Nothobranchius furzeri: one gene and its partners. The protein of the gene in region 1 binds, or shares a complex with, the protein of each later gene. Links are inferred from orthologs where the notes say so. Each region holds a gene or a part of one and is shown in the gene's direction. Other genes may lie near its edges.

Region 1 (3,928 bases):
GTCCAGTTCCTCAGACAGTAAACAGACGCCGAAACATCGTTGCTTCATCCTGATGTGACTTCTAATCTAGTGGTTCTGGTTTGACCTACTCTTCGTGTTTGGGTCAAATCAGAACTCAAAACAACACAACAGTTTGGGTCTAAATGTGTCCCAGACTGTGGAGGCGTTACCGTGACGACCAGAGGTTGGTCTCCAGTCAGCGCTGTGACCTTCTCATAGAAGATGTTGACCACATCGTTTCCTCTTTGGCCTCGGTCTGATTGTTGGCTTGGGTTAAGCTCTAACTCCTGATAGGGTAAAGTCTCACGGGACTGGAAGCAAAAGGATACAGTCCTTGTAGATGAGATGGTCCCCCTTGGAGGACAGGATGAAGACCTGAGAGATCATCCTCCTGAAAGGAAGATCACAAGCACAAGATTAATGATAATGATAACTAATATTTATATGGAATATCACACCTTATTGATCATTTAATAAAAGTGACCACTTCCGTCACGTTACAACATGTTTATCAGAGTTGGAATAAAGCCAAATCCTATCTAATTTATTGTATTATAAGTGTTAACAGCACTGTTGTGTACTGGTGAGAACCTGCAGATAAAACTACAGAAGTTCCGCTAACGGAAAGGTGGATCTGTGAGGGGTTACAGCTGCTGTACTCGCCTGCGGAAGGTGTGGGGTCTACCTGGAAGAACCAGATCTTACTGCGGCTATTTTTAACAGAACTTCAAAGGAAATGAAAGCACGGCTGGTGCTGCTTTGGCTAGCAGTAAGCTATAGATAAACTTTAATAACTCACAGGGCCGCAGTTTTCAGAAACGCTGAATACAACCAGATAAGCTCATTGTCTGCAGGGTTACAAAGCTAACCTGACAGAAAGGTTTTGGGTTTATATTCAGGTTATAGCTACGGTTTACGACACGGCTCCGTTAGCATGTAGCCCCACAGCGCTCCCTTGTGGACAGGAGGTTGAATGAGGATTGCATTAATAACTTTATATTTATTAACTTCACGATGAGTGAACTCATAGCTACGTAAGAAATTGCTTCAGATACATCAACCTAGATGGTTTGGGTGTGTTATATAAACCCGAGAGAAATAATCTGCACATGTTTAATGATCGCTTGTAGTTTAGATCTCCAAACTGCAGAGGGCAGCAGAGACGAACCAAACGGAAGTGGTCTACCTCAACAAATAAAACGTCTGATCTGTGCCCTAATTTCTGTAACTAACTATGAAGTAAGTACATTTATGTATTCATAAATGACACGAACCACCGACACAACACTGTTCTACTTCTTGTCGTGTAGTTAAAGTAAAAAGAGCGAGTTCGTTATTCTGCGGTTTGATGACTGATCCTGGTGCAGCATGCTAGCTGTTAGCTAGCTCCTACTCGTAGCCGATCGGATTCTGCTCAAAAAACAGATAATTTAACATTTTTTCCTTAAAAACCAGAGAGAGCATGTAATAAAACATAAACACCCAGTTGTGTTTGGGATGTAGCATGTATCTTTGATGCTTCAAGAAGACATTTGATCATGTGTAGGTTGGCTATTGTTTTGTTTACACCCCTGACCTTCTACTACGTGTTTTATTCTAGACCAGTGTGTCTGATAAAGTTGACTAATAATTTATGTCAACTGCTGATGAAGACAGGACCACAAGCTTGGTCATATGTGGTGTTATCTTTTTCTCATGAATGTTTCTACGTCTGCTGCAAAAAAAAAGATCATTCGACTAATAAAACACACCACTCCGATCGTATTTACCCCGGAAGTCAAAGGGGACACATTTACATGTATATCCAGCCATTGTCTGAACCCGCATATCCTCACAGGGTTCTGGGGGGCTGGTGCCTATCTCCAGCAGTCTCTGGGCATGCAGGCGGGGTACATCCTGGATGGGTTGCCAGTCCATCGTCCATCGTAGGGCAGCCCAGAGGCACACAGGACAAACAACCATGCACAGCCACCTAAGGATGATTTAGGCAGACCAATCAACCTGACAGTCGTGTTTTTGGACTGTGGGAGGAAGCCGGAGTACCCGGAGAGAACCCACGCATGCACAGGGAGAACATGCAAGCTCTATGCAGAAAGACGGGCTGGGATGTAAACCCAGGACCTCCTTGCTGCAAGGCAACAGCCCTCAGAATTAAAATGTCAAATTTAAATCAAGCCAACAAGTGAAACGGAGCAGCTCGACCAGGAACACCGTGGTCCTGCTGGAGGAACAGGATTATGCCTGCTGCTGCTGAAGGGTCATTAGGGTCAGGCTCAAGGTTGGGGTTGAATAGAAAAGCTCGACTCTTTTTCTCTGTAGTCCAAACAAAAAGCAGTTTTTCTTTCTAAATTGTCCTGACAGCTTTTCACAATAAAACTCCAATTGAGTCAGAATCAGGTCCAGTCCCTAACGGGACGATTTACTGAGCAACTTGTGTGTTTTCAGTCCTCTAACGAAGGTGAAGCTGATTAACGAGCTGAATGAGCGCGAGGCTGACCTCGGCATCAGCGAGACCGTCTCCTGGCACACAGAGTACCGGGACAGTGCCTGGATCTTCATCGGTGAGAACTCCTCAAACCCAGCCCTTCACACGTGGAGACGTTGGGATGAGTTTGGTGTTTTGGGCTTTTGGAGACGATTTGCTTCTGTTCATTAACAACATAAAAAGGGATCTCATGAATGAAACTGTTGAAGTGGGTTTGTTTGGTTCTGATGATGCTTACGAGGTCTCGTTTCCTGCAGGAGGGTTCCCCTTCGAGCTGACTGAAGGAGACCTGATCTGTGTCTTCTCCCAGTACGTACATGCTTACGTCTCACCTGCTTTACGTTATAGCTGACATGACAGTGACGTTTGTCTCCTCTCGACAAACCTGCCAGGTACGGAGAGATCGTCAACATCAACCTGGTGAGAGACAAGAAGACGGGGAAGTCTAAAGGGTTCTGCTTCATCTGCTATGAGGACCAGAGGAGCACCATCCTGGCAGTGGACAACTTCAATGGCATAAAGGTGACTTCCTGTCCTCACCAGGTCCTGGTGTGGACCCAGCGCCGCTCCTTGCTGGCCCACAGCGGCATCAACATGGTCTCTGATGAGACAATTAGCTAAAATCTTTTTGTTGTTGTTTAAACGTTCAGATTAAAGGTCGAACTATCCGCGTGGATCACGTTAAAAATTATCGTCCTCCCAAAGACAACGAGGACATGGACGATGTGACCAAACATCTCAGAGAAGAGGGCTGTGCTCCCAAAGGTCCTACTGTTGTCCCCTCTTCCTCTGAGGAAGAAGAGCAGTGCGTCGTACCTGCGAAGAAGCCCAAAAAAGGTGAGGTCACTTCCTGTTACCTGAAAGTCACCTGATCTAGGACCAGGTGGACTTATTTCCCTTTTCTGTCTCAGATAAGAAAGAGAAGAAGAAGAAAAAAAAGAAAGAGAAGAGGAAGAAGAGCAGAGCTCCCTCTTCATCACCTTCTCCTCCTCCTGCAGTCTTCAGACTGAAAGAGGAGAAGCAAGACGCCGCCTACGACAAGTACAACCACAAGGAGGTGCCTGCAGGGCAGAGGACGAGGGACACGGAGAGAGGAAAGGGGACAGACAGGAATGAAGACAAGTGGAGGAACTGTGAGAGAGAGGTGGACAGAGACAAGGACAGAAGAGACGACTATAGGAGACAAGAGATGGACAGAGACAAAAGACGAAGAGAGAGGGAGTGGGACGAAGACAGAAGAAAAGACGGAGACAACAGGAAACGGGAGCCGTATAGAAAATAGACAGGTTGTGATTGGCCGATCCATGGTGTGTGTGTGTGTGTTTTAATGTTTCGTATTAAAATCTGACCTGAACACCTGATACACTTCATGTCTGATGTCCAACACCTGAGGACGGGTGAGACTTTTACAAAGCAACACGTTGGCGAACTCGTGAAGCATTT
Region 2 (4,198 bases), on another chromosome or scaffold:
ACAATTATGCGCGCGCGCACACACACACACACACACACACACACACACACACACACAAACACACACACACACCTAAGGAATTCAGACAGACCAATTAACCTAACACTCAAGTTTTTGGACTGTGGGAGGAAGCCGGAGTACCCGGAGAGAACCCACGCATGCACAGGGAGAACATGCAAACTCCATGCAGAAAGATCCCAGGCCGAGAAGCAAACCCAGGACCTTTATATATATATGCATGGTGGCGCAGTGGTTAGCACTGTTGCCTCGCAGCATGAAGGTCGCAGGTTCAAAACTCGCCTTTCTGCGTGGAGTTGCGTGTTCTCCCCATGCATGCGTGGGTTTCCTCCGGGTACTCCGGTTTCCCCCACACATCACAACATGCCCTACAGGTTATTAAAAAAAAACTTGTACGTCGCTTTGGATAAAAGTGTCTGCGAAATGAATAAACATAAACATACACACACACACATATATATATATACACACACACACATATATATATATATATATATATATATATATATATATATATATATATATATATATATATATATATATATATATATAGAAAGAGAGAGATAGAGAGAGAGAGAGAGACTCAAAAATGTAAGCCTAACTAAAATAGGTTGTTTAAAATGTAAATAGTTTGTACTTACAGACACTCCGTATTTAAGGGCCAGGCCCTGCAAAGTCTCTCCCGGTTGGACGACATGTTCCACGACTCTGCGGCGAACCGGAGACTGTGAAGGTCGGATCAAACTGCCGTAAGATCTGGTTCGGCTTCCGCGAAGGAGGCCCCCTCTCCCGGGAGGCGATGGCTCTCGCTCCCCGGACATTTTGGTGTATCATTTGTGTTTAAACCCGTCCAAGGTGCGGCAGAATACAGAGAGCTGTAAACTTTAGCTTTTACCAGAGAAACATGTATGTAAGAACTAGCACACGACCCAACTATTCAAGCTTCTTTCCTTTTTAAACCTGCTATTTTAAGCTTAGCAATACAGCACCTGCAGCACACACAGGGCCTCTGATGTAAAAACCCCGTTAAACTATATGATAAACCTATTTTACACACCTGAAAAGTTATCGTGAACTTGTTAGCATTTTCTCGTATCTCGTGAAGTCAGCAGCAGCAGTAGCAGCTACGCTGGTTGCCATGGCTGCCTGGGCTGGTCACATGATTCTTAACAAACGGTGCGTTTAATACAATACGAATAACAGAAATCACTTTAAAGTTGTTCGAATTCGTTTTAGGAGTACCTAACGTTTAAACTGTTTCTGCACTTGAGCAGTCTTTTTTAATGATAATTATGAGCGACAAATAATGGATATGATTCAGAAATGTTTGTGCACACTTTAGTTCAAAGCTGAACTCCGTTCTAAATTTGGAGGTTAGAATTTCCCATGCGTCGATTCTTCTGTGAACGCATCAGCAGGGCTAGCCTAGCATTGACAAAAAGCAGCTAATCTGGTTCCAACTTCAGTTTAAGAGTATATGTCATAGCAATGTCTTTTAAAAGAGAGGGGAATGACAAGAGTCAACTCAACATTCTTAAGGTTAAATATTGTTTTATACGTTGTCTGTTTCATTAAATATTATACGTTTGTGTAGTTAGCATCATGTTAGCATCCTGTTAGCTTCCTGTCCTGGGAGCACTCACTATTTCAACTTTGTTGACATTTTTCAGAAAAGGCGTGTGGCCGATCTGCTGTCTCATTTTATTCCTGAAGACGAAGCTGCGCTGCTGAAAAATGGAAGGTGAATTTCGGCTTGACTCACGTTCGGAAAAGAAACAGACATGTTGTTACATTAATAACTGAAAACGTGTGTGGTTTTTTAGATATACTTGTCTGGTGTGCTCCTACCGTCCCGTGTTTGATACGGTTGATGTGCTGACCGTCCACAGGCAAGGGAAGAAGCATCTAGAAGGTAAAAGTGAGCTTAAATGTGTCATTCCCTGTGGGTAAGGGATGAGGTTTGGAAGAACTTTTCTAAGTCAGGTGTTATGATTTTCTTACATTGTCTGACATCAAAGAAACACTTGAAAGTATCTGATGATATTGTGGGAAGACAATAGAACATACAGTCTGATCAATTTGTTTATTACAAATCATTAAAACAACAGCACGTGGTTTTTACTCAAAATCCAAGAACTTCACCCTGAGTTAAAGTATGGAAGAGGATTAAGGCCACTGAAAATAAAACATATGAAAAGAAAGACATCAGATTTTTCCCCTCAGAAATCTGGCTTTAATCTCAGAATTATTAAAGTCACAATCAAGAAAAAAGTCAGAATTCTGAGAAAAATGCCAGAAATCAGAGATTAACTCATTAACTGCCATTGACGACTAAAGTCGTCATTTGCATTTTTTTTACTATGTGGGCGTCGGAACGAGCCCCCGCACCGTGAGAACAAACATTCCAGCTATAAGCTGATCTTCATTCGTGTACGTCACACGCCACGTGATCAGGAAGCAGAAAATCCATGTGTTAGGAGATCGTTTTGGGCCACAGCTGTAAAAAAATAAGTGAGGCGCAAACCGGAAAAGCTTCTGCCGATCACAGTTCGACTACAGATTATGTAAGAATGGATAACACTCGAAACATGTAGATTCTGAAGAAGAAGAAGAAAATATCATTTCTATGGCGCCTCTCAAGATAAAAATCACGAGGCGCTTCACAAAAACAAAAAAATGTAAAAAATATAAAAAAGCATTTAGAAAATGTTTAAAAATTTATTTCAAATGAGCAAAAATAGACAATTGGGATTTAAAAGAAAACAATTTTAAGAAAGAGAGAGTGAATAGGAAAGAGGGAAATCAGTGGATCCTGAGGAAGGTGGAATAGGTGGGGAGAGCAGAATAAAGAGAGAGGGGTTGAAGAAGGCCATACAAAAGCCAGCTTGAACAAGTGAGTTTTCAGCTGCTTTTTAAAGGAGTCCACTGATCTCAGGCTCAAGGAGAGAGAGAGTTCCAGAATCTGGGGGCCACAGCAGCAAATGATCTGTCACCTTTGGTCTTTAGACTGGTGCGTTGCACAACCAGTAGGCTTTGATCACTGGACCTCAGGGACCTGCTGGGGGTGTAGGGACTAAGAAGATCACCAATGTAAGATGGTGCTTGTCCATGTAAGGCCCTATAGACCAGAACCAGAATCTTGAAATGAACCCTGATTCTGCCTGATGTAAGAGGTGAGTCTACTCTTCGTTTTGTTAGTTTTGGCGTTGACATCATCCTAGAGCACAACGTTCATTGACTCTTAAAGAAACAGTAGAAACACTGAAAAACGCTGGCTGCGAAGGGCTTTTCTGATCAGAGAATGGCAGGAGTGTGTCCAGGGAGTGCCCTGGGGTAGCAAATGCCACCCTTGAAATCCCAGGTGCCACCCCACCGAGTTCCATATAAATTGACTTTACATTCTCCACAAAAGGCTTAGGGTTACAATACAATAACCATAGGGGCCACTCGTGCATAAACAAGTGCCCCACCTGGGCCACCCCATTTTAAAGAGCTTGGACACGCCACTGGAGAACGGCTGGCAGTTAGTGAGTTAAAGTCAGAATTCTTTTTTTAAATTTTTTTTCTTCAGTGGCCCTAATTATCTTCAGTATTAGAAAAGACAAAACAAAAACAATCCATAATTACTTGTATACCAAAAAGTGTTTAAAAACCTGAGCAACAAAGAATTAACAGCTGTAAATTAATCATATGCAACTTGTGATGCATTTTAAATATCAAAATGCATACTAAAAAGGGGTTAATAGCTTGTTTTGATTATCGATATTAACATCGCTACACCACTGTACTATAGTTACAGTGGGAGTCATGGCATGGGTGGGGACTTATTTCATTCACACTTCCTGTTAGGAAAACACTTCTGAAAGAGGTGTCACCTGGTGGACCAAGAGAGCGACTCAGAGGCAGTGATAGACAGCACTCCCCTCAACCCCCTCTGCGTGCGCTGTCGGAGTTTCTCTGTCGAAAAATTAGTCATTAACAAGTGCACACGCATGCTCACAGTAGACTTACCTTTCTGCAGTATTCTGGAGAATTTCCTGTTAACTGCGATCATTAGATGAAAAGGGGAGGAGGGCTTTTTTTTAAGGAGGCGAGCGATTCAAAGGCTCTTTAAAGGGACTTTATGGAGTTTTGAATTTTTATGCTCGCGATTGCCCCCTCAGGCCAAAAGCGTAACGGC
Region 3 (3,878 bases), on another chromosome or scaffold:
TAAAGCTGAGTGTTAAGCAGGGGGGGGGATTGGGTTCCTTGTTAAAGTCTTTGGTATGACTAGACCGGTATTCAAACCCGATCTCCCAATCCCAGGGCAGACACCTGATAGTGGCCTAAATTGTTTTATATCTGAAATGTTTGAGAAGAAATTACAAACTTGTTAGTTAAATTTCACAATCAAAAAGAATTACTTGATGTTCCTCTGAGTCTACAGCAGAGGGACAATAGGCCACCAGAGGGCGTATGATCTGATGTGTTTGTAATGCTGCTAATAGTTTTTGTTTTAGCGCGTTAATTTAATCTTGTTTAACACAGATAATTATGATACATTTATTAAGCTTCATCGGTTGTGTAGTTTATATAACTGCAGACCTTCTGACCTCTTGTTATTTCTTTTATTTTGAAAGGATTTATAGGAAGTGCTAATTGGTTATGTGTTGTTCAACTTTATGTGAACACTGTAGTAACCGCCTCTGACCGCCAGAGGTTGGAAAAAACCCTACTCTCGAAAGCCAGAAACTAATTGAGTTCTTGTTATCAAGTTGACATAAACAATACATTTAATCACTTATAGACAGATTGTGTTGGCATCAGTTACGTCAAAAGATTATTTAGACAAAAAGCAGTTAAACATAAAATTTTCTTACAAATTTATGTCATTCGTTTTTATTTATTTTTCTTTCTTTTTTTGTTTTTTGTTGTTATGGTTGTTGTTGTTGTTGTTGTTCTTGTGAAGCGCCTGCTCATGATTATTATCTTGAGCGGTCTTGTAAAAGATCGTTTCTTCTTTTTATCAACGACATTTCTAATGGCTATTTTTGTGTATTTTGTTTATTAATCGTTTATACATTTAGTGTCCAATCAAAATGCGTTAATTATTTTTCTGTTTAAAACTAAAATTACCTTTTAAAAATTATTTCAAGTACTACGGAAGAGGATTAAGGCCACTGAAAACAAAGAATAATGATTTAAATCTGAAAATTCTGAGATTAAAGTCAGAATTATCTTTCTGTTCATTTTTTTATTGTATTTTTCTTTTGTTTTCATTGGCCCTCGTCCGTTCTAACATAATATTTTAGGTTTACCATTCTAGCCAGAGCCGCGTTGACTTTGATTTATGGACGGTTGTGAATCTCATTTTGGCAGAAGGAGCGCGTCACGTTTCGCCTCCAGAACAACAGGGGGCGCTACTGCTCTGGCAGCCACTGTTCTTACACCAACAAAAACATGGCGGACCCAGACAAACCAAAAGCAGCTACTTGTACGTTTTTGTTTAAAAAATCCACCAAGAAATTCTCCGGAAGAAAACGAAAAGCAAGTGACAGCGATAAAGGTAGTAAACTATCATTTAGATACATTTCCTTGTAATTTTCTCCTAACTAGCGTTGTCTGTCCTCTGGATAGAATTGATAGCGGCTTCTCATCAGGGAGATCAAAACCGCGACCCAAACAGTTTGTTTATATTATCCTCCATAATAAACAGGACCAAAAACATTATGGTTTATCACCTGAAAGCTACATTTAAACAAAGAGGGGAAGTAACCTAGTTTAATTGTAATAGATTTTGTAATGTTTGTTTACACCAATTGTGTGTGTGTGTGTGTGCGCGTGTGTGTTTGTTTGTTTGTTTTAGATGGCGATAGTGACACTGAACAGACTGCTGTGGTCAGAAAAGAAAAGAAGGATGCTCGAGTCAACCCCATGATTCAAAAGGTAGAGCAGGCAAGCTAATAGATACTTAGTTATGAAGCAGCAACGTGAATGATCTATGTATTCTTTGTTCAGACAAAAAAAGTGGAGAGGGACGCTGTGTCTTCTAGTGAAAGCGAGGAGGAAAAGGGAGACAAAAAGATAACGGTTGCTTACAAGTCTTCCCGATCAGCGGTGAGTTCAGACTGCATTCATTCAAAAATGTCAGAGCCAGACAGTACAAGTCAAACACTGATCTTTTTTCCATCATGGCTCAACCTGGCTGTTGAGACAAAACATACAGGGGCTGAAACTTCACCAGAAAAGCAAATTTTAACATTATTTTACAATCTACAGACCATTCTCATCCACGTACACATGACTATGTGCCCTGAACAGTTGTTTTTATTTACTTTAAAACTTTCTACTGTACCTTGCCTTCATAAAAAGAAACCCGAGGGGCCTGAAGACATGGGTGCAACTGCCACTTATCAGCTGGACACAGAGAGAGACAAGGATGCTCAAGCTATTTTTGAGAGGAGTCAGAAAATCCAAGAGGTAGGACATGCCGCTATTGGTTAATATAAAATGAGAAATAATCAAAATCTCACCTTCGTCATTTGAGCTTTCCCTCCTCTGTCTCATTAGGAGCTAACAGGTAAAGAAGATGATAAAATATACCGTGGCATCAATAACTACCAAAAATTCATCAAGCCTAAAGACACCACCATGGGCAATGCCTCTTCAGGCATGGTCAGGTGAGGCAAGAGATATTCACATGCAGTCAGAAGATGTTGTTCACCTATAGATGCTGAAGGTTACGTTCAATCTGTGCTACAGAAAAGGACCGATTCGAGCTCCTGAACACCTGAGAGCTACAGTCCGGTGGGACTACCAACCGGATATTTGCAAAGACTACAAGGAGACGGGTTTCTGTGGATTTGGGGGTTGGTGAAAACAATCTGAACTCTTAAAACGTTCCTACTGTGAAGTCAAAGGTTTTGTTTATTAATCATGATTGCATCCGTTGCCATTAGACAGCTGCAAGTTCCTCCATGACAGGTCGGACTACAAACACGGCTGGCAGATTGAGAGGGAACTGGAGGAAGGGAGATATGGAGCAAATGGTGAGTAAATAATCGAACTTGAAATCTTCTCTTTTGCTGGCTAGACTAAGTTTCTGATGTGTTTTCATCTAGATGACGAGAACTATGAGGTGAGCAGTGATGATGAAGACTTGCCCTTCAAGTGCTTCATCTGCAGAGAATCTTTTAAAAATCCCATCATCACAAAGTAAGTACTGCGATGGTTTCTCTCCTTCAGTCCTTGTTTATTACCGGCTGGTAATCGCTGTTTCCTTAGGTGTAAGCACTATTTTTGTGAGAGCTGTGCTCTTCAGCATTATCGCAAGTCAAAGCGCTGCTACGTGTGCAACACTCAGACCAATGGTGTCTTCAACCCCGCTAAAGGTAAATGCATTTGCTCAAAAACATCCAAGAGGAGCAGAAACCAAAGTAAACAGTCACACTTGATGTTTTATTGTCATTTATTCTAGAGCTGATTGCCAAGATGGAGAAACGCAACGCTTTAGCCGACCAGCCACCGTCAGACGAAGAAGATTAGAACACGCTTTAGAACCCTCTCTGTGTTTGTCTGTGTACATTTCTAATAAAGTTCATGGCCTCGGTTCCTTTTGTACAATCATGTTGAAACACTGAAGCAGGCCTGGGTTTGTAGTAAAAGTTTTACATTTGTAACACGTTGCTTTGTCCAAACTTTCAAATATACATGCAGACAAAACCAGCACCAAGAAAACATTTACATCTGACGTCAGTAACACCCAGAGAGCCGAAGAAAAGGCTAACTTTTACGCTCTTAATGCTAAACTAATAATTACAACCTGTGCAACAAAAGAGTCTGAACCGTGAGACGATGCATCTGCTGTAGCAGACCGGAGCTAAGAAATGCTGTCAGTCCTCAGAGAGGACTGCTAGGTGCCCTTATGGTCGTCTCCTGGAGCAGACGGACCAAATCGTGTTAACACAAACGGTGGAGCGTCTCCTGGTAATATTACGTAGCAGCATTTCATTGATCCGTCTCCTGACCTTTATGGTTTGGGCTACATCTACCTTTAGAAAACTCAAGAGTTGTCCTTTTGGTTCGTGGGTGTGTGTAGAGTACAATCCG
Region 4 (3,591 bases), about 22 Mb from region 1:
AAACTGGGCCAATATTAACTGATAATTTTTCCATCTTGTTTTCATTTGTTTATCTGTTTCAGAGGGTGAGGGAGGTGATGTGTAATTGTTTAGTCATGTGACAGTGATTGCAATCATCTAACAGTGTAAACATGTGTGGTGTGTGTACATAACGTCAATTCAGCTTTAATCTTTACAAATCTGTTGATCTTAGAAGCATTAATGTCAGTATATCGGTATTGGCAAACATCGGTTATCGGCCATAACAGCGATATATCAGATATTGGTATCAGCCCCAAAGTTTCATATCGGTGCATTGCACTGAAGATTTCTGTTTATTCAACTTTTCAGGAATATTTATGAGCTTCAGGTAAAAAAAATGTCATAGCAGGAGGTCAGAAAATAATGAAATGCAAACCTGAACCATGATCGCATACAAGACTAAACTGTGACCTTCTTTCATCGAAGGATTGCGTAATTATACCAGTCACTATGGTGTCATGTTGTGAGGTAAGTGTCTAACCCACGACTTACAGAATCAGTTCACAGACTACGGTCGGTTTTAAACAATAAATTAATGGAGAAAACAAGGGAGCAGCATAAATGTAGCTGAGATCTTCAACAGGAGTCGGGTGCAGGAATCTGCAGACAGATGGAGGTTAGATCCAGCTTGAAAAGGGCAACAGGGACTTTAGAAAACTGGGGAAGCACTAAGATTGGTCTGTAATTATCATACTGTAGTAAACAAGATTTGTGGTTTTCTTAATTTGAACACTACATTTTATTGACCTTGTAAACATCCATCCATCCATCCATTGTCTGAACCCGCTTTGTCCACGTAGGGTTGCGGTGGGCTGGTGCCTATCTCCAGCGGTCAATGGGCAATCAGGCGGGATATACCCTGGACAGAAAGCCAGTCCATCGCAGGGCAACACAGAGACACACAGGACAAACAATCATGCACGCACACACACACACACACACACACACACACGCACACACACACACACACACACACACACACACACACACACCTAAGGACTGTGGGAGGAAGCCGGAGTACCCGGAGAGAACCCACGCATGCACAGGGAGAACATGCAAACTCCATGCAGAAAGATCTCAGGCTGGGAAGTGAACCCAAGGCAACAGCTCTAACCACTGCGCAGCCGACCTCGTAAACAATACAAGTAAAATAGGTTCTTGGAGTCCTGTCATGCCGGTCAAAATATGCACGATTTTTCTCCGATTGTTCCTGAACGCGTCTAGTTCCGGAAGTGACGCACCGTTGTGTACAGGAACGTTTCCTTTTCACTTTTGGAAGCAGCTTCGTAAGTGTTGTTGCTTTAAAAACGTATTTAAATTGTGTTGTTTATTTTAAGCTTTGTGTTTCAAACATGTTTACTCTCGTAATTATCTTGCATTGGGTTTTAAAAATAGGAAATGTTCCTTAAATTGCATTGTCACCCACGTTAGCCTGTTAGCAACTGATTAGCGGTGGAAGCTATCAAGCTAACTTGTGTTTTAAACAACATTTAGGAGGAAACTGATCGTTAAAGGTTTTAACTCATATTAACATTAGACTTATTATGATGTATATCTAAAATTACTTATTGTAATTTATGAATTGGTCAGTTATTTTCTGCTTTACGTTTTGCCAGAGCACGGCCATCAAAGATGACTACAGCTGCAAGACCAACATTTGAGCCGGCGAGAGGGGGTAGAGGAAAAGGAGAAGGGGATTTGAGTGCTCTTTCTAAGCAGTATTCCAGTCGGGATCTTCCAGGTCACACCAAGATCAAATACAGGTCAGAACAGTGGGTTCCAGTTTCTCAACCTTAAATATTTATTCGAACTACTTAAACTGTGTTTCTTTCATCTCAATTAAAAGGCAGCCTACCCAGGATGCCCCTGAGGAAGTGCGTGCCCGTGATTTTCGCCGAGAGCTGGAGGAGAGGGAGCGTGTAGCTGCTCGTGAGAAGACCAGAGAGAGGGGACCAAGAGGTGGATTTTTCTACTCATAATAAAGATTAGATCCAAAAAGGATGTATGCAACGGTTTCTGGCATAGTTCCTTTAATCTGTATTGTGTTGATTTTATTTCTTCAGAGCACACCACATCATCTTCTTCATCATCATCATCTTCAAAAAGGCCCAGACTGGATCAGATCCCAGCAGCCAACCTTGATGCCGATGACCCTCTCACTGATGTAAGGATTTACATTGCAATACATCCCAGACTTACACTGGATAAAGTTATTAATCCATTTTTACATTACAGGATGACGAAGACGAGAACTCAGATGAAGAAAGTGATGATGACGACACTGCAGCCCTGCTGGCTGAACTTGAAAAAATTAAGAAAGAGCGAGCTGAAGAGCAAGAACGCAAAGTAAAGAGTTTTAAGTTTGTGTTTGCTTTGGCTATAAATGAAAAGTGATGTTATAGAGGATGGCTTAACCTCCGTGTGCTTTTCTTTTGTTATTTAGGAAAGAGAGCAGAAGGCAGAGGAAGAGAGGATTCGAATGGAAAATATTTTGAGTGGAAATCCATTGATAAATTTAGCAGGACAGCAACAGCAGCAGCAGCAACAACAGCAACAGAGCCAAACTCAGAACACATTCAGAGTCAAGAGAAGGTATTTCTTATGTTCACTTGTTACAGCAAGAATGTTGGTTTTTTGTTTGTTTGCATTTGGAAAAACAAATATATTCCTTCACCACCACTAATAATTCTGATGTACTTCTAGGTGGGATGATGACGTAGTGTTCAAAAACTGCGCCAAAGGAGTGGATGAGGCGCGGAAAGAGAAACGTTTTGTCAACGACACGCTGCGCTCTGAGTTCCACAAGAAATTTATGGAGAAATATGTAAAGTAGAGGACTTTGTGTGTGTGTTTCATTTGATCTTTTTTAATTGAAAATGTTTTAGTTTCAAGCATTTTAATTGCAGCTGGCATTTATTTACAGTCTAACTAATTGGAAACCGTACTGTCTGCAGGTCAGTTGCTGTTTGCGTAAATCATGAAAGTTTGAAGCACATTTCAGAATGTGATTTCAGTATTTCTGTCATGCATTTTTCATTATTTGAATAAACATTGACTTTTTTCCCTTGAATTACTTTGCATAATTTCACAGAAATAACAGATTGTGCATTTTTTAATTTTAAAGGGTAAATTAACTTAAAAAGTTAAGTTTTATAAAAAATGCTAGGGGTGGGGTGCCTAAAATCAGCACAGAAATGGGTATGAAGAGTGTTGCTTTTCATTTAACCCTCCACTCCCTAGTGCTTTTTTTGTGCAAAAGGTAATGGGTTTTGCAAAAGTTCAAGGATGTGGCGAGGGTTAAAAGATACTTTGTAACTTGTTCATATTTTTAGATAATTTTCTTGAGCCAGTATGTGCTAAAATAACCCTTCACAGTGTTAATGAAATGCCACCCAGCCCCTATCGCCCCCTGTGGCCAAAATATCCCACTTGCAGCTTCACAGTTGCTGGTCTGATCTGTTGAACTTAGAAGAACTTGAGCTGACATACCTGGCGCTGCAGTCTAGTTCCAGCAAGTTTCCTGCATGGTTTAGATCATGAACACAGCTGATTTGTTTCATTTAGTGATGA
Region 5 (4,293 bases), on another chromosome or scaffold:
GATTGCAGCCAGGCAACAATTTGTCATTGCCAGGTCAACCTATGATCTGAAGTCACCAATGAACACAAACCAGCTACGTTTCAGCTGAACCAAAGGACTTATTTCCACTTTGTTACTACCTGTGATGCTACCACTACTTTCAGGGTCTGGCCTGCACACATCAAAATCATAAAAAGATTCCTCACACTCACTCACTCACTCACACACACACACACACACACACACACACACACACACACACACACACACACACACACACACACACACACACACACACACACACACACACACACACACACACACACACACACACGTAAAGTGCCCAACCACAAACTACTCACTGAAAGGTGTTTACAGATCAGCCATGGCTGCTGACGCCAGTCAATGAGCCAAATGCAATGGAAATCAAATGAAGATTCATTTGATGATGTCTTTTATTATCCCATTATGCCTTCTCTTTCCCCATTAAAAAGCTCTTTCAATGTGGGACAGACCTGCATTAGGCCACTTTTATGTGTCCCGTAGCAATCCCCGAGACACATCTCCTGGAACAAACATACACGGGTATGTATATTATGTGTACTTTATGTTTATTCTAGTTCTTTGCATATCATTTGTGCAGTACACTGTGGCCATACTCAGTGTTGTAAAAATAGATAAAATTAGTTCATTTTAATGTTTTGTTTTTATGTCTAATGCTGTTTTGATTTGCATGAGATACAGATCATAAAAATACTGTTGTGGGTGATTCAATGATGGATCAATGTTCCATGGGAATTTAAAAAGTACCTAACACTGAGCTGCTTTATGAAAAGCCATGTAAAGCTGTAAATGTCAACTTGGAGCCAAGATGACAAGTAATGCAAAACTGTTCTATTTTTCTGAAAGAAAATGCAAATCAATCCTGCTACTGGATCAACATTTGCTTTTTAAAACAATACAGTTCAGTGTCTGGTGTAGCTGCATAAATTGCCCATCGTCATTAGACGATGCAGAAAATGTAGTCAACAGCTGATTTCCTTCAAAATCATGGAAATCAAGTTTATTCATTAAACTTTAGTCAGATGTACGTAAACACATATTCAGTCCTCTTAGAAATGCAATGTTCTACTTGTGGAGAATGAAAATCAATTTTCATTTCCATCATAACTCAACATTTATAGAAGAAAGAATGAAACAATCTTTTATATAGCGCCCCCAAGATAAAAATCGCGAGGTGCTTCTCAAGCATAAAAAATTAAAAACAAATACAAGTAAAAAACAGATTATAAATTAAGGAAACGTGATTAAAATGTAAATAGTTTCTTATAATTTTAGTTTTTATTTTATTTAATTTTATGTGTTTCAGTCTTTATAAAAAAAATAATTCTACATAAGAAGCTGAGTTTGTCAGTTTCACTAAATAATAGTCCCATAGACTGTACATACTCAATAGTCCTCAACCATGGGCGTTATTGAACTACGTGTCCCACAATGCATCGCGGTAGGTGCCACCGGAAACACTCGTTGTGACCCTTCGTTGCAGGCGGAAAAAAAGGCTCAAAAGGATCCCGAAAGCGTCAAACGCACGTTGCAGTTCAAGAAGAAATAACAATAAAGCAAATAACTCTTACGAACAAGTCAAGGTAAGTTACAGGAGTAACATTAATTAGTTTGAGGAAACGGAGTTCTCATTCTTCTATTGGTTTTCGTTATTTAGAAATTTCGATTTATTTCGTTCATGTGTAGCATGGCTAAGGTTACGCGCATTTTCAAAACTCCGTATGTTACTGTAAAATATTTAGGTATTTAACTATGCTTATTAATCGTAGTAAACTGTAAATAGCATTTACGGCCAATCATATTTACTGTTTGGAATTGTTTAATGGTAGTTTCTAGATAAATTTGTCCTGTAGCCTTGCTAGCTAGTATGGCTAACTGAGCTAGCGGTTAGAATGCTATCAAACATTCTCCACCAGACTCTTAAAAAAAGAGAATACCCAAGCGAAATCGTTTATTCTCTAGTAATGTTATAAAGTGTATTACTGCGTAAATTCATGCTAAATAATAAAAACACCTTCATTTTAGTTAAGTCTAAATACTATGTCCCACATGAAAGTTTCAATTAATGTAGCGTTCGGGTTCACAACACTTCTTTTGTTATGGCTTTTTGCACAAAACCTGTTTTCCCAGGGCGTCTTTCCTTATTTGTCTTAATTTCAGTGACTAGTATTAATCCACAGTCATGAAAAAGTTCACTCGCCTTATTCTGTTGCTTCTCCTACTAGTTGTAATGCAGATTGTAGATTTCAGTGCTGGAAACTGGGCAACCCGGCTAACCAATAAAGTTAAATGGATTTGGGTTGCCAATATTTAAGAGCAGACATTTCTGTGGGTGAGCACGTATAATCTTTTGCTTTGTGTGTTGTGTTCCAGGAAAAGCTTTGAAACATGTCCATCGGTGTACCAATCAAGGTCCTGCATGAGGCAGAGGGTCACATTGTGACCTGTGAGACCAACACTGGAGAGGTGTACAGGGGCAAGCTGATAGAAGCAGAGGACAATATGAACTGCCAGGTTGGTTTGTTTAGCAGTATGGTTTAAAAGGGTTCCAGTGATTTTTAATTGTCAAGAAAAGTGTCAATGAAAAGCCTTCAAAATACTGTTGATCATAAACATCCAGTCAGTGCTTGTTTCAATCCCATCTGCTGCCTGAATAAATTTTGTTTTTATTTCTCTTGCAAATTGCCTTTCTTGCAGCTTTTTAATGGGTTAAATTAAAAAAAATATTTAATTTTTATTTTGTGCACTCACAATAACTTGGGTCAGTAAATTTGGCATTTAAGGTGTTCTGTTAATGTGGATTTTTTGTGGGGTATGTAGTCATAAAAGCTTTTGTTTGTGTAATTACTGGTAAACTAATTTGTGTTTGGGATTAGTGTTCCCCTAAATTGCAAAACGTTTGGCCAAACAATGGTGTACATGGATGCTTGGTGTGAAGAGTTTTATTTTTTTGTAAAAGTGTTTCATTAAAGCATTCTTATCAGAAAGGCTTTTATGTTGGGTTTTCATTTTAAGTTGGTCTTTAGCTTTCATGATTTACCCAGTTCAGTCAGTTATTTAACTCTGTTGTTGCATCATAATTTAATAAACAGTCTAAAGTAACATCACTCTTCAATTGGATTCTATTTCAGCACACATTTTTATAAGGGTTGAATAAACTGAAATGTTAATTTACATTTGAGCCATGCTAGTTTGGTAACCTGTGTGCACCAAGATCCAGATAAGTAACAGAACTGGATTAATGGATGCTCACACGGTCATTTCACCTGTTGTGGACCTAAACTTGAATTTGTCCCTACAGATGTCCAACATCACCGTGACCTACCGCGATGGCCGGGTTGCACAGTTGGAACAGGTCTACATTCGCGGCAGCAAGATCCGCTTTTTGATCCTACCGGACATGTTAAAGAATGCTCCGATGTTAAAGAGTATGAAGAACAAGAACCAAGGCTCTGGGGCAGGAAGAGGAAAGGCAGCTATTCTTAAAGCACAAGGTGAGTGAGAAGCATTTGGACAATTTCTCCAGATGCTGAGACAGCGCTAGAGTTTAGTTCCCTCTTTAGCTGCTTGGCTCTTAAATAGTTGTTAATTACTTTTTTTTACAGGTAACAACAGTGTTCTATGTGGACACTTCTCACATTTTCTGAGGTGGAATGGTTTGAAAGACAGATCCCAATTCTTTTTTATCTAATATAAAGGGAAAAAAAGGCTTTTTCAAAGGAATGTTTAATGGTATTGTCTAATTTCTTCTCTTGTAGAAGTCCAACATAGTCAAAATATTTGAGTAGGGAAAATAGGGATTTGTGGGGGGGCATTTCTTCCAGACCAAAGAGATACCTTTTTTTGGAGTTTGACTTTTTATTTTTACTTTTAACAGTGGCTGCAAGAGGACGAGGTCGTGGTGGAATGGGGAGAGGCAACATTTTCCAGAAGAGACGATAACTTATTTTGTTTTAAATTTCATTGTTTGATGTCATCTTTTGGATTTACTATGCTTTGGTTTACTTTGCAGTCTTTTGCTCTACAATTTATCACTGTTTTTATTTTGTATGAAATAAACAGATTTCAGCTCAGTGTTGCTCTTCTTGACTGAACCTTTGCTGTGCTTTGCCCCATTGAAGCCCTTTTTTTGTAGTATTATTCAATTTTGAGTCCCACCTCTTTCATTTATATTGTGTATTGTAACCTTTTAGCAAGTAAAATTTGTACATTTACCCACGGAAAAGCATTTTACTGCATATTTATCCTAGT
Region 6 (4,248 bases), on another chromosome or scaffold:
ACAACTTCATTCCTCAATTGTATTGTGAGTCACATCTTTTTGTTATTTTAAGTGCAATATGAATTATTGTTTGTTTTGTTTATGTCTTTATTGCATGCACCAATAAAAGATGTGATTGAAGTCTTTATTGAATTTTATTTGTTTGTAATGGGAGTTTAAACTTTAGCATATTAATTTGAGCTGAACTGAGATTAAAACTTCAAAATCTTCTCTAACCTCTCCATTATGAAGTTAAAATTTATATCTCAGACTTGATACACCTTAATGACAAAATACAAGTCCTGATACTTTGGTTTTAATTCAACCCTGATAAAAAAAAAAATCGTTTATCCAGTAATATTTTTCTCCCACTGTTTCTGTTTGGCTTAGGGGTTTAGTCTGTTTTTCCCAGATAGTAAGTACATTTTATTTATATAACACCCATCACAGACAGTAATCACAAAGATAAAAAAAACAAGACAAATTAAAGATGATTCGAGTTAAAAATAAGGCTATTTATGTAGATGGTGGTTAATTCTGCTCCCGCTTGACCAACACGAGTGTCAAAATTTAAAAGCGTGGTTCCTGCTCAGCTGAACTTCCATCCAGTCTTATAATTTACTGATTTACTGGATGACTGTAATGTCTGATGGCCTGTAAAGCATCAGTCGTCTGCAAAAAGTTCATATGTTCAGTCACTTCCTGTCTGTTGCTGCTTCTTCTTCTCCACCAGCTCTTTCTGTTTCTCCCTCCTCTCCAGGACTTCCATCATCCTGGCATAGTTGCGTTCTCGCTCCTGGGCCTTGAGCTCAACCACGTCTTCAAGGAACCTGTGTCTGCATAAACGACAAGCAAATATGTTTACGATTTGCTGCTAACTCATAGTATTTAATATTTTTGCTTCAGTCTCCAATGACAGTTTCACCGTCACACCGGTGTTACAGTGAAATGTGTTGTGCGTGTGTTTCTTTTACGCAGTTAGCAAAGCTCAGTTTCACCTGTTAATGAAAATAGTGGCGAGTCCAACCAGCAGAGTTCCGAACAAAATGGGTTTGGCGAGGCGCTTTCTCGCGGACAGCCGGTGGTGATTCATTGTTGCTGTTTTACTTAAATAAACAAAGCGACATAGCGTTTTTGTTAAGCTGACCTCCCGCAACGTGCGTTATGTGCTGTTGTACGAGCACATAAACACAAACACACCTTCTGCTCCTTAACTTCCGCTCAGCTGCCGGTGTTGTATCAATCTCTGTACACCATTTAAAATGTGTTTCCTCATCGGCTCGCGTAGCTCTCGCGTATTTCATTGCACAATTGTGACAGCAATGCTAGCATTTATAACGTTATAGGCGAGTTTATAGCAACGATGTTACGATTTCGTGTAGCTAAAAATGCGTTACTCTTTAAATCATGCGAAAGTGAACGGGGAACACATCTTCACGGACAAACAAGTTTTGATAAAACAGCGGAACAAATATCTACTTGCGCAGTTTTTCCGAACACTTATGAGCCGCGGACCCATACGTGAAATGAAAACAACCTCTGAATCAGCTATGAACGGTCAAGTAACTTAAACATCAGCATAATCTGATATCTGTGTGAATTTTATTTGAAGTGTTAAATGTGTTTTTGCTAAAAGATGAAGAGAAATGAGTCAGCTGAAGCGCCTGAACGGTTTGAATATTTACAGACGCTGGTTACTGAATTTCAGGACACTGACAGTGAAGGTAGGAATAACCTTTGATCTGTGTTCTACAAAGTTAAAATAAAAACCGTTTTAAAACGAACACGTAGACTCTCAACACCCTCAGTTTAGATGCATGCTATTATTTATTAGTGATGGGAATGGCTCAGCTCACCAGAAAGAGCCGGCTCTTTCGGCTCCCAAATGGCTCCTCAGATTTTCTGTTTCGTAGAGTACATTTATAACCAAAATAATGCAAAACTATATGTAAAATTATTTACTAATGTAAAAAAAAATGCAATATATCAAATATTTATAATTTCTATGGATTTAATAACTGAACACTTTAAGAAATTGTCACTTTCCGACTGCTGGCGCTCATTTTCTCACCGTCTTCATCACACTCTCCTCTCTATCTCGCTCACCTTTTTCCTCCTCATTCCCTCTCGTCTACCTCCACCTGCATGTGCTCTGCTGTGTGTCTGAGTCTGATTCTCCCTCTTCCCCGTCCCTACTGCTCTGTGTGTGGACAGTCTGGTCACACAGTTACACATGTTGACCAATCGCCTGTAGCGTTCACCAAAGCAAGAGGGGAGGGGGGAGGGGAGGGGACGGCTCCCAATGATGAGCCGGCTCCCGTTGTTCACTTCAAAGAGCCGACTCTTAGAGCCGGTTCGTTCGGACTGACACATCACTATTATTTATATCGTTAGAGGGCTTTTTCAGAAGCCGTTGTTCAGTCGAAAACTGTACTCTCCATCAGTATATTTATTTGAAGTGAGAGAAAAAAAATCGTCAAAAGAACATTTGTATATATGTTAGACCAGTTTTTATCCATTGCAATAGGAGAAAGGCTGACTATCAGCATTAGAATTGTGTTCAGAAGACAAAAAGATCACAAATACATGCAAATGACTTCATGAAGTTAAAATTTTTCGAAAAAGAATCTGTAAACATGACTAAATCAGGTAGAAGTGAACAAATACATCAAATAAGCTGTAATTCTAAGCAGCGTTTTAAGTTTTATTCTGAAAGTGTATCGTTGTGACATGAAATAAATGTAAGCTTAGTATTTGGAAACCAAAAAGTGACGTTATTTAACCAAATTCTGATTGTTCATTCTACATGTTAGTTCACTTTGAGATTACTGCCATAAGTAAACATTTTCTGTTGGATTTTACCGCAGAAAGCTGCTTGTTTTTATTTTTAAAAAAACGGTGTTAAAAATAAGTAGCCAGATAATGTGATGAATTAAATAATGCGCTAGTTCCACATCCATCCATCCAGTTGTAAATATCTACACTGGCTGCCATTAAACTATAGAAACGATTACTAAGTGCTACTGCTAGTTTATAAATGAGGCCAAAATACATGTTGGATCTCCTTCCTGTATATATACACCCAGCAGGGCTCTGAGATCCTTAGGAAACAGTCAGCTGGTAGAACCTCGGGTCAGAACCAAACAGGGTGAAGCTGCTTTTAGCTACTATGCTGCTCACAGATGGAATCAGCTTCTTTATGACCTGAAATGTGCCCCAACTCTAGTAACTTTTAAGTCAAAATGGAAGACTTTCATGCATTCATCAGCCTTTGAAGGATTATTTCTCATGCTGTACCTTCTGCGCTCAGTCTTTAACTTTGTCTTTTATTTTATTTCTTACATTTAATTTTATTAGAGTATTTAAAATTTGAATTTAAAAGCTGCTGTTTTACGTCGTCACGTTGATTTTAATCTTTTATGATCATGCTGGTCATGCACCTGGAAAGTACATTGAATAGCTTCAGTGTATGAAATGTGCTACACAAATAAAGCTGCCTCGCCTTTCTAGTTTACAGACAAATCTTATTTTTATACTGTCAGCTCCACATTTGAGCCTGAAGGGTGTTTTGATGTGAAAGTAAAAAGCGCCCCCTGTGGTATAAATGTGTACTGTTTCTGTGCTGCAGCCTCTGTTTATCATTGTTTGTAATGAGCTGGTGTAAGGTGAATTAGTGGATGTAGGTATCTCTGTTTGTTTCATTACTTTTTCTCTTTATCAGAGGCAAAGGAGCAGGTTCTGGCAAATCTAGCCAACTTTGCATATGACCCAAAGAACATGGAGTACCTGAGGGAGCTGCAGGTTCCTGACCTGTTCCTGGACATGTTGACCGAAGAGAATGAGAACTTTGTGGAGTTTGGGATGGGTGAGCATCTCTCCAACTAAAACAGTAAATCATGTTTGTTTATGTAAAAATCATCTAAACTCAAATATTGTGTTGACAGGGGGTCTGTGTAACCTCAGTATGGACCCTGGATGCAGAGACATCATCTTGGAGAACGATGGGATCAGCTTGATCACAAACCACCTGTCAAACCGGAGGGAGGAGACGGTGCTGTCTGCCGTCACCACCCTGATGAACCTCACCACACCAGCGACCTGCTCTCAGATCACAGAGCCAGGGATCGTTCAGTGCATGCTGCGCTTCTCACTCGCAGAGAGCCCCCGTCTGCGCAACCTGGCCTCGGTCTTCCTGCAGGACTGCTGCAGCCAGGAGCAGGTGAGACAGGCTGAGCTGCAGATGCAGGGGGTGCAGACGGCCATCGGGAT
Region 7 (3,500 bases), on another chromosome or scaffold:
CTGCTAATAGAAATGTAATTGTGTATAAATGATACTAGTATGATGTTTACATAATTTCTATTCTATTTTTGTTTTTTCCTAGTTCTTAAAGCTAACTGGGGTGAAGTGGATTTTGTGATAGAATAGAGATTACAGTTTGGCTAGTTTTAACACTTGTTTTAATAAAAAATAAAGTTTGTGTGTAACTGTACTCATTATTGCTTGTTCGTCTCTTGCAATTTAGATAAATGATATAACATTAAGCTCATGGTGGTTGAGTCTCAAGCAGTAGGGAGGCGGAAGCAAGCCAATGGAGCTCCGTGCCCACTGATCCCACGGGACTCACTGAAGACACCGGAACTGTACTTGCAGTGTTGGGTTTTGATGCACTCTGTATTGTGGTTATTTGTTTAACCCCTGAAGTGTAGACTGTGGGGAGACTGGGGCAAATGGGGCGGGGTAAAAAGTAGAGCAGTAGTACAAATATGATCACAAAATGCTGATTATTTTAAAATTATTTAGGGATTTACAACAGAATTATTGCATGCAGTTTTTTGTTTACATTGCTAGAAATGTCTCCCCTCAGCTAACTTGCATTCTCAGTTTCAAGAGTTCAGTACAGACTGAGTAAATAATTAATTAAAAGTTTCTGAGTCCAGTATTGTAGACGGCATTGTGTATGATTTAGATCTGGTTAGCTAGATTATCCCAGGTTTAGTCTAGACAGGGATAGATGGTGGGAAGCCCCATGTGTGGGACCCTGCCTCCTTTTTATGTTTTCTATTATTTCAACGGCTTTGTCTCTTTTTCTTTCCCCCTTTATTGTGTATGTTGCAGCATCCTGATAGTAAGATGATGCAGATCAACCTGACAGGGTTTCTGAATGGCAAGAACGCCCGTGAGTTCATGGGAGACCTGTGGCCCCTGCTGCTGAGTGCCCAGGAGAACATTGCTGGCATCCCGTCTGCTTTCCTGGAACAGAAGAAGGAGGAAATCCGACAGAGACAGGTGATGCGTCTTTAGAACCTCAGAACTTTATATGAAAGTGCACTTCCTCAGACTTTACGGGATAAACAGACACTATAAATGGAGTAAAAAGAATGCATGTAAAATTTTATTTTATCCAAAATAAAATCTTCATAAAAAACAAATTCATCTTATTCAATAAAATGTATTTATTGCCACCCCTATACAACGTTGACAATGTAATTAATCAGGTAAATAATACGTTTTAATCCTGATGGAGAACGTTTTGGAAAACACAAAATTTTACACTTGAGGTACATTTTATTTTGAAAACGGCAGCTTAGTCCGAGTTGTCCATGTTTGTTAGTATATTATTCAGCTATAGTTTAATATTTGACAGATTGAACAAGAGAAACTGGCTTCCCTGAGAAAGGTGGATGAGGACAAGAAGGATAAAGACACCAGAGAGAGGGCTCAGTCCAAGAGCCCAAGAAGGTGGGAGGTTTTTGTTTTAAATGTGAATCAAACTTCTTCTGTTGTTAAATTTACTATAGTGACATAGATTATCCCAAAGGTATAACATGTTTGGAACTAATTATTGTTTGATCACGATCACTGGGAAACATCCGTTCATATTAACGTCTGTTCTGTTCCTTTGGTCAGGAGGAAAACCAGGTCACCATCACCACGACGAAGGTCGCCTGCCAAACGGGAAAGAAAACGCAGCCCGTCACGCTCCCCAAGACGCAAACCCAGTCCGCTCAGTGCAAACTCACCCGCCCCACCTCTGATGCAGTCTTCCACTAGAGCCTCACAGCAGCTTGTTGAAGCTGATACTTCAGAGAAAGAGCCGACTGAGCCGGTTATCCAAGAAGCTTCTTCTACTGGGTTTGTGTCTCTGTGTGTCCTACCTGTAGGATTTGGATTGTAACATGTAATGACAAAAATAAATGCTTTTCTTTTCTAGTGATGCAGTGGTGGAGTTGGTAAAAGCTGACTCAGTTTCTGAGGTCAAAGAAACATCCCCAGAAAAGTCTCACAAGAAAGAGGAGAGGCCGAGATCTCGTGAAAAGGACGTGAGGAAGGAGAGACCTCACCATCGTTCACCCTCCCCGTCTCATTCCCGCTCTCACAGACGACGCTCTCGCTCAAGGTCTTTATTAAAATATCATTTTACTCTGTACAAAAAAAGGTATTTGTTTTTTAAGTTGATCGTTTTCCTCTCTTCTGTATCAGGTCGTACTCCCCTCGTAGAAGACAAAGTCCCAGAAGGAGAATGTCTCCTCGACGATGGAGTCCTCCTAGACGCGGCCCGGCTGGCTCTAGACATCGACCTAGGCGTTCCCCAGTCCGCAGGTCAGTGAGGTGCAGGGCAGCTTTTACAGATTGTACCTGAATCTCATGACGACAGATGCTTTAATAATGTCTTTCTAATTTTTCGCATTTCCTTGTTAGGAGACGCTCTCGTTCTGCCTCGTTTTCTGGCAGCAGCTCCTCTGGTTCACGTTCACCCAAAAAGCCTGTGAAGAGAATATCCCCCACGCCCCCCCGTAAACAAGTCCGCCGTTTTGACACGTCTATCAGTCCCGCACCAAAGGACAAGCGATCGCTGTCTCCACGAGCAAGAAGAGGCCGGAGGTCTCCTTCCCCTCTCATGTCATTGGGTATGACTCGACACGTTAGCTTTAGCCTCCTAGCTGTTTCATTTTTAATGTTGATTGATAAAATATCTAAATGAAACTTAGATTTATAAGTTATAAGAAAAGACAAACCCTTCCCTGTAATTCTACTTGTTAAATGTAACCATTGTTAAAGAGCAAGTCTCCCCCAAATCAACTTTTTTTGCTGATAAACTACATAAATTAGTCGAATCGTGCTGTAGACACGTGTAGTCAGTAATTTGGCACTTTAATGCTTCTTAGTTAAAATTTAAATATTCTGACAAACTGTCAAGTAAAATCTCTGCACTACAGTTCAATTTAAATCTGCCATCACTGTTAGCTAAGAGGTACACAATGACGTTAGCAGGTACATAATGATGTCACAATGCTTTTGTGAGCGCGTGTGTGTGTATTTGTTAGCGGCTCCGGCCTTTCGATTTGCTATGCAACAGCATTTGTGGCATTTTTCAAACATGGAGTGGAGTAAGTTTCTTGTAGGGGGTGACTTGATCTTTACAAGAAACTTACTCCACTCCCACTTCCTGTTTGAAAAATGCAACAAATGCTGTTGCCTAGCAGACCGAGAGGGCGGAGCCGCTAACAAATACACACGCTCACAAAAGCATTGTGACATCCTATGGTACCAGCTAACGTTCTAGGGTACCTCTTAGCCAATAGCGATGGCAGATTTAAATTCAACTGCAGTGCAGAGTTTTTACCTGACAACGGCACAACACTGACAGTTTTAGGCAGAAAATTAAATTTTTTACTAAAATGCACTTAAGTGCAAAACTATTGACTACACGTGTCTGCAGCACGATTAGACACACATTTATATAGTTTATCAGAAAAAAAGTTGATTTGGAGGTGACGTGATCTTTAAATTAACTTGGT

What was found.
Region 2: rbmx2 (region 1) and scnm1 share a complex: the UniProt entries of both Homo sapiens proteins name them as parts of the minor spliceosome. The link is inferred for Nothobranchius furzeri from reciprocal best matches to the Homo sapiens genes RBMX2 and SCNM1.
Region 3: rbmx2 (region 1) and rnf113a share a complex: the UniProt entries of both Homo sapiens proteins name them as parts of the minor spliceosome. The link is inferred for Nothobranchius furzeri from reciprocal best matches to the Homo sapiens genes RBMX2 and RNF113A.
Region 4: rbmx2 (region 1) and cwc15 share a complex: the UniProt entries of both Homo sapiens proteins name them as parts of the minor spliceosome. The link is inferred for Nothobranchius furzeri from reciprocal best matches to the Homo sapiens genes RBMX2 and CWC15.
Region 5: rbmx2 (region 1) and snrpd3l share a complex: the UniProt entries of both Homo sapiens proteins name them as parts of the minor spliceosome. The link is inferred for Nothobranchius furzeri from reciprocal best matches to the Homo sapiens genes RBMX2 and SNRPD3.
Region 6: rbmx2 (region 1) and armc7 share a complex: the UniProt entries of both Homo sapiens proteins name them as parts of the minor spliceosome. The link is inferred for Nothobranchius furzeri from reciprocal best matches to the Homo sapiens genes RBMX2 and ARMC7.
Region 7: rbmx2 (region 1) and srrm1 share a complex: the UniProt entries of both Homo sapiens proteins name them as parts of the minor spliceosome. The link is inferred for Nothobranchius furzeri from reciprocal best matches to the Homo sapiens genes RBMX2 and SRRM1.

Annotation. Positions count from the first base shown.
Region 1 is NC_091750.1:26,772,697-26,776,624, reverse strand, and holds rbmx2 (RNA-binding motif protein, X-linked 2), read left to right. Parts: upstream 1-1,128; 5' UTR 1,129-1,234; coding exon 1,235-1,239; intron 1,240-2,445; coding exon 2,446-2,561; intron 2,562-2,742; coding exon 2,743-2,794; intron 2,795-2,877; coding exon 2,878-3,007; intron 3,008-3,135; coding exon 3,136-3,322; intron 3,323-3,396; coding exon 3,397-3,767; 3' UTR 3,768-3,846; downstream 3,847-3,928. Other genes in the region: ap4m1 (AP-4 complex subunit mu-1), read right to left, coding at 171-256, 330-391. UniProt on the Homo sapiens protein: Involved in pre-mRNA splicing as component of the activated spliceosome. As a component of the minor spliceosome, involved in the splicing of U12-type introns in pre-mRNAs.
Region 2 is NC_091745.1:65,775,869-65,780,066, forward strand, and holds the start of scnm1 (sodium channel modifier 1), read left to right. Parts: upstream 1-1,398; 5' UTR 1,399-1,506; coding exon 1,507-1,557; intron 1,558-1,688; coding exon 1,689-1,759; intron 1,760-1,841; coding exon 1,842-1,930; intron 1,931-4,198. Other genes in the region: lysmd1 (lysM and putative peptidoglycan-binding domain-containing protein 1), read right to left, coding at 660-839. UniProt on the Homo sapiens protein: As a component of the minor spliceosome, involved in the splicing of U12-type introns in pre-mRNAs. Plays a role in the regulation of primary cilia length and Hedgehog signaling.
Region 3 is NC_091745.1:10,008,494-10,012,371, forward strand, and holds rnf113a (E3 ubiquitin-protein ligase RNF113A), read left to right. Parts: upstream 1-1,175; 5' UTR 1,176-1,229; coding exon 1,230-1,335; intron 1,336-1,635; coding exon 1,636-1,715; intron 1,716-1,787; coding exon 1,788-1,886; intron 1,887-2,141; coding exon 2,142-2,249; intron 2,250-2,339; coding exon 2,340-2,449; intron 2,450-2,531; coding exon 2,532-2,638; intron 2,639-2,728; coding exon 2,729-2,818; intron 2,819-2,890; coding exon 2,891-2,984; intron 2,985-3,053; coding exon 3,054-3,160; intron 3,161-3,246; coding exon 3,247-3,314; 3' UTR 3,315-3,378; downstream 3,379-3,878. UniProt on the Homo sapiens protein: Required for pre-mRNA splicing as component of the spliceosome. As a component of the minor spliceosome, involved in the splicing of U12-type introns in pre-mRNAs. E3 ubiquitin-protein ligase that catalyzes the transfer of ubiquitin onto target proteins.
Region 4 is NC_091750.1:48,553,601-48,557,191, forward strand, and holds cwc15 (protein CWC15 homolog), read left to right. Parts: upstream 1-1,156; 5' UTR 1,157-1,307; intron 1,308-1,392; exon of another isoform or gene 1,393-1,535; intron 1,536-1,637; 5' UTR 1,638-1,653; coding exon 1,654-1,784; intron 1,785-1,867; coding exon 1,868-1,980; intron 1,981-2,084; coding exon 2,085-2,185; intron 2,186-2,256; coding exon 2,257-2,367; intron 2,368-2,464; coding exon 2,465-2,613; intron 2,614-2,724; coding exon 2,725-2,854; 3' UTR 2,855-3,091; downstream 3,092-3,591. UniProt on the Homo sapiens protein: Involved in pre-mRNA splicing as component of the spliceosome. Component of the PRP19-CDC5L complex that forms an integral part of the spliceosome and is required for activating pre-mRNA splicing.
Region 5 is NC_091746.1:48,714,686-48,718,978, forward strand, and holds snrpd3l (small nuclear ribonucleoprotein D3 polypeptide, like), read left to right. Parts: upstream 1-1,493; 5' UTR 1,494-1,625; intron 1,626-2,415; 5' UTR 2,416-2,430; coding exon 2,431-2,556; intron 2,557-3,343; coding exon 3,344-3,536; intron 3,537-3,919; coding exon 3,920-3,984; 3' UTR 3,985-4,115; downstream 4,116-4,293. UniProt on the Homo sapiens protein: Plays a role in pre-mRNA splicing as a core component of the spliceosomal U1, U2, U4 and U5 small nuclear ribonucleoproteins (snRNPs), the building blocks of the spliceosome.
Region 6 is NC_091756.1:50,514,990-50,519,237, forward strand, and holds the start of armc7 (armadillo repeat-containing protein 7), read left to right. Parts: upstream 1-1,448; 5' UTR 1,449-1,481; coding exon 1,482-1,541; intron 1,542-1,615; coding exon 1,616-1,703; intron 1,704-3,700; coding exon 3,701-3,844; intron 3,845-3,923; coding exon 3,924-4,248. UniProt on the Homo sapiens protein: As a component of the minor spliceosome, involved in the splicing of U12-type introns in pre-mRNAs.
Region 7 is NC_091758.1:35,723,794-35,727,293, reverse strand, and holds part of srrm1 (serine/arginine repetitive matrix protein 1), read left to right. Parts: intron 1-816; coding exon 817-987; intron 988-1,345; coding exon 1,346-1,440; intron 1,441-1,608; coding exon 1,609-1,833; intron 1,834-1,912; coding exon 1,913-2,098; intron 2,099-2,181; coding exon 2,182-2,301; intron 2,302-2,400; coding exon 2,401-2,609; intron 2,610-3,500. UniProt on the Homo sapiens protein: Part of pre- and post-splicing multiprotein mRNP complexes. As a component of the minor spliceosome, involved in the splicing of U12-type introns in pre-mRNAs. Involved in numerous pre-mRNA processing events.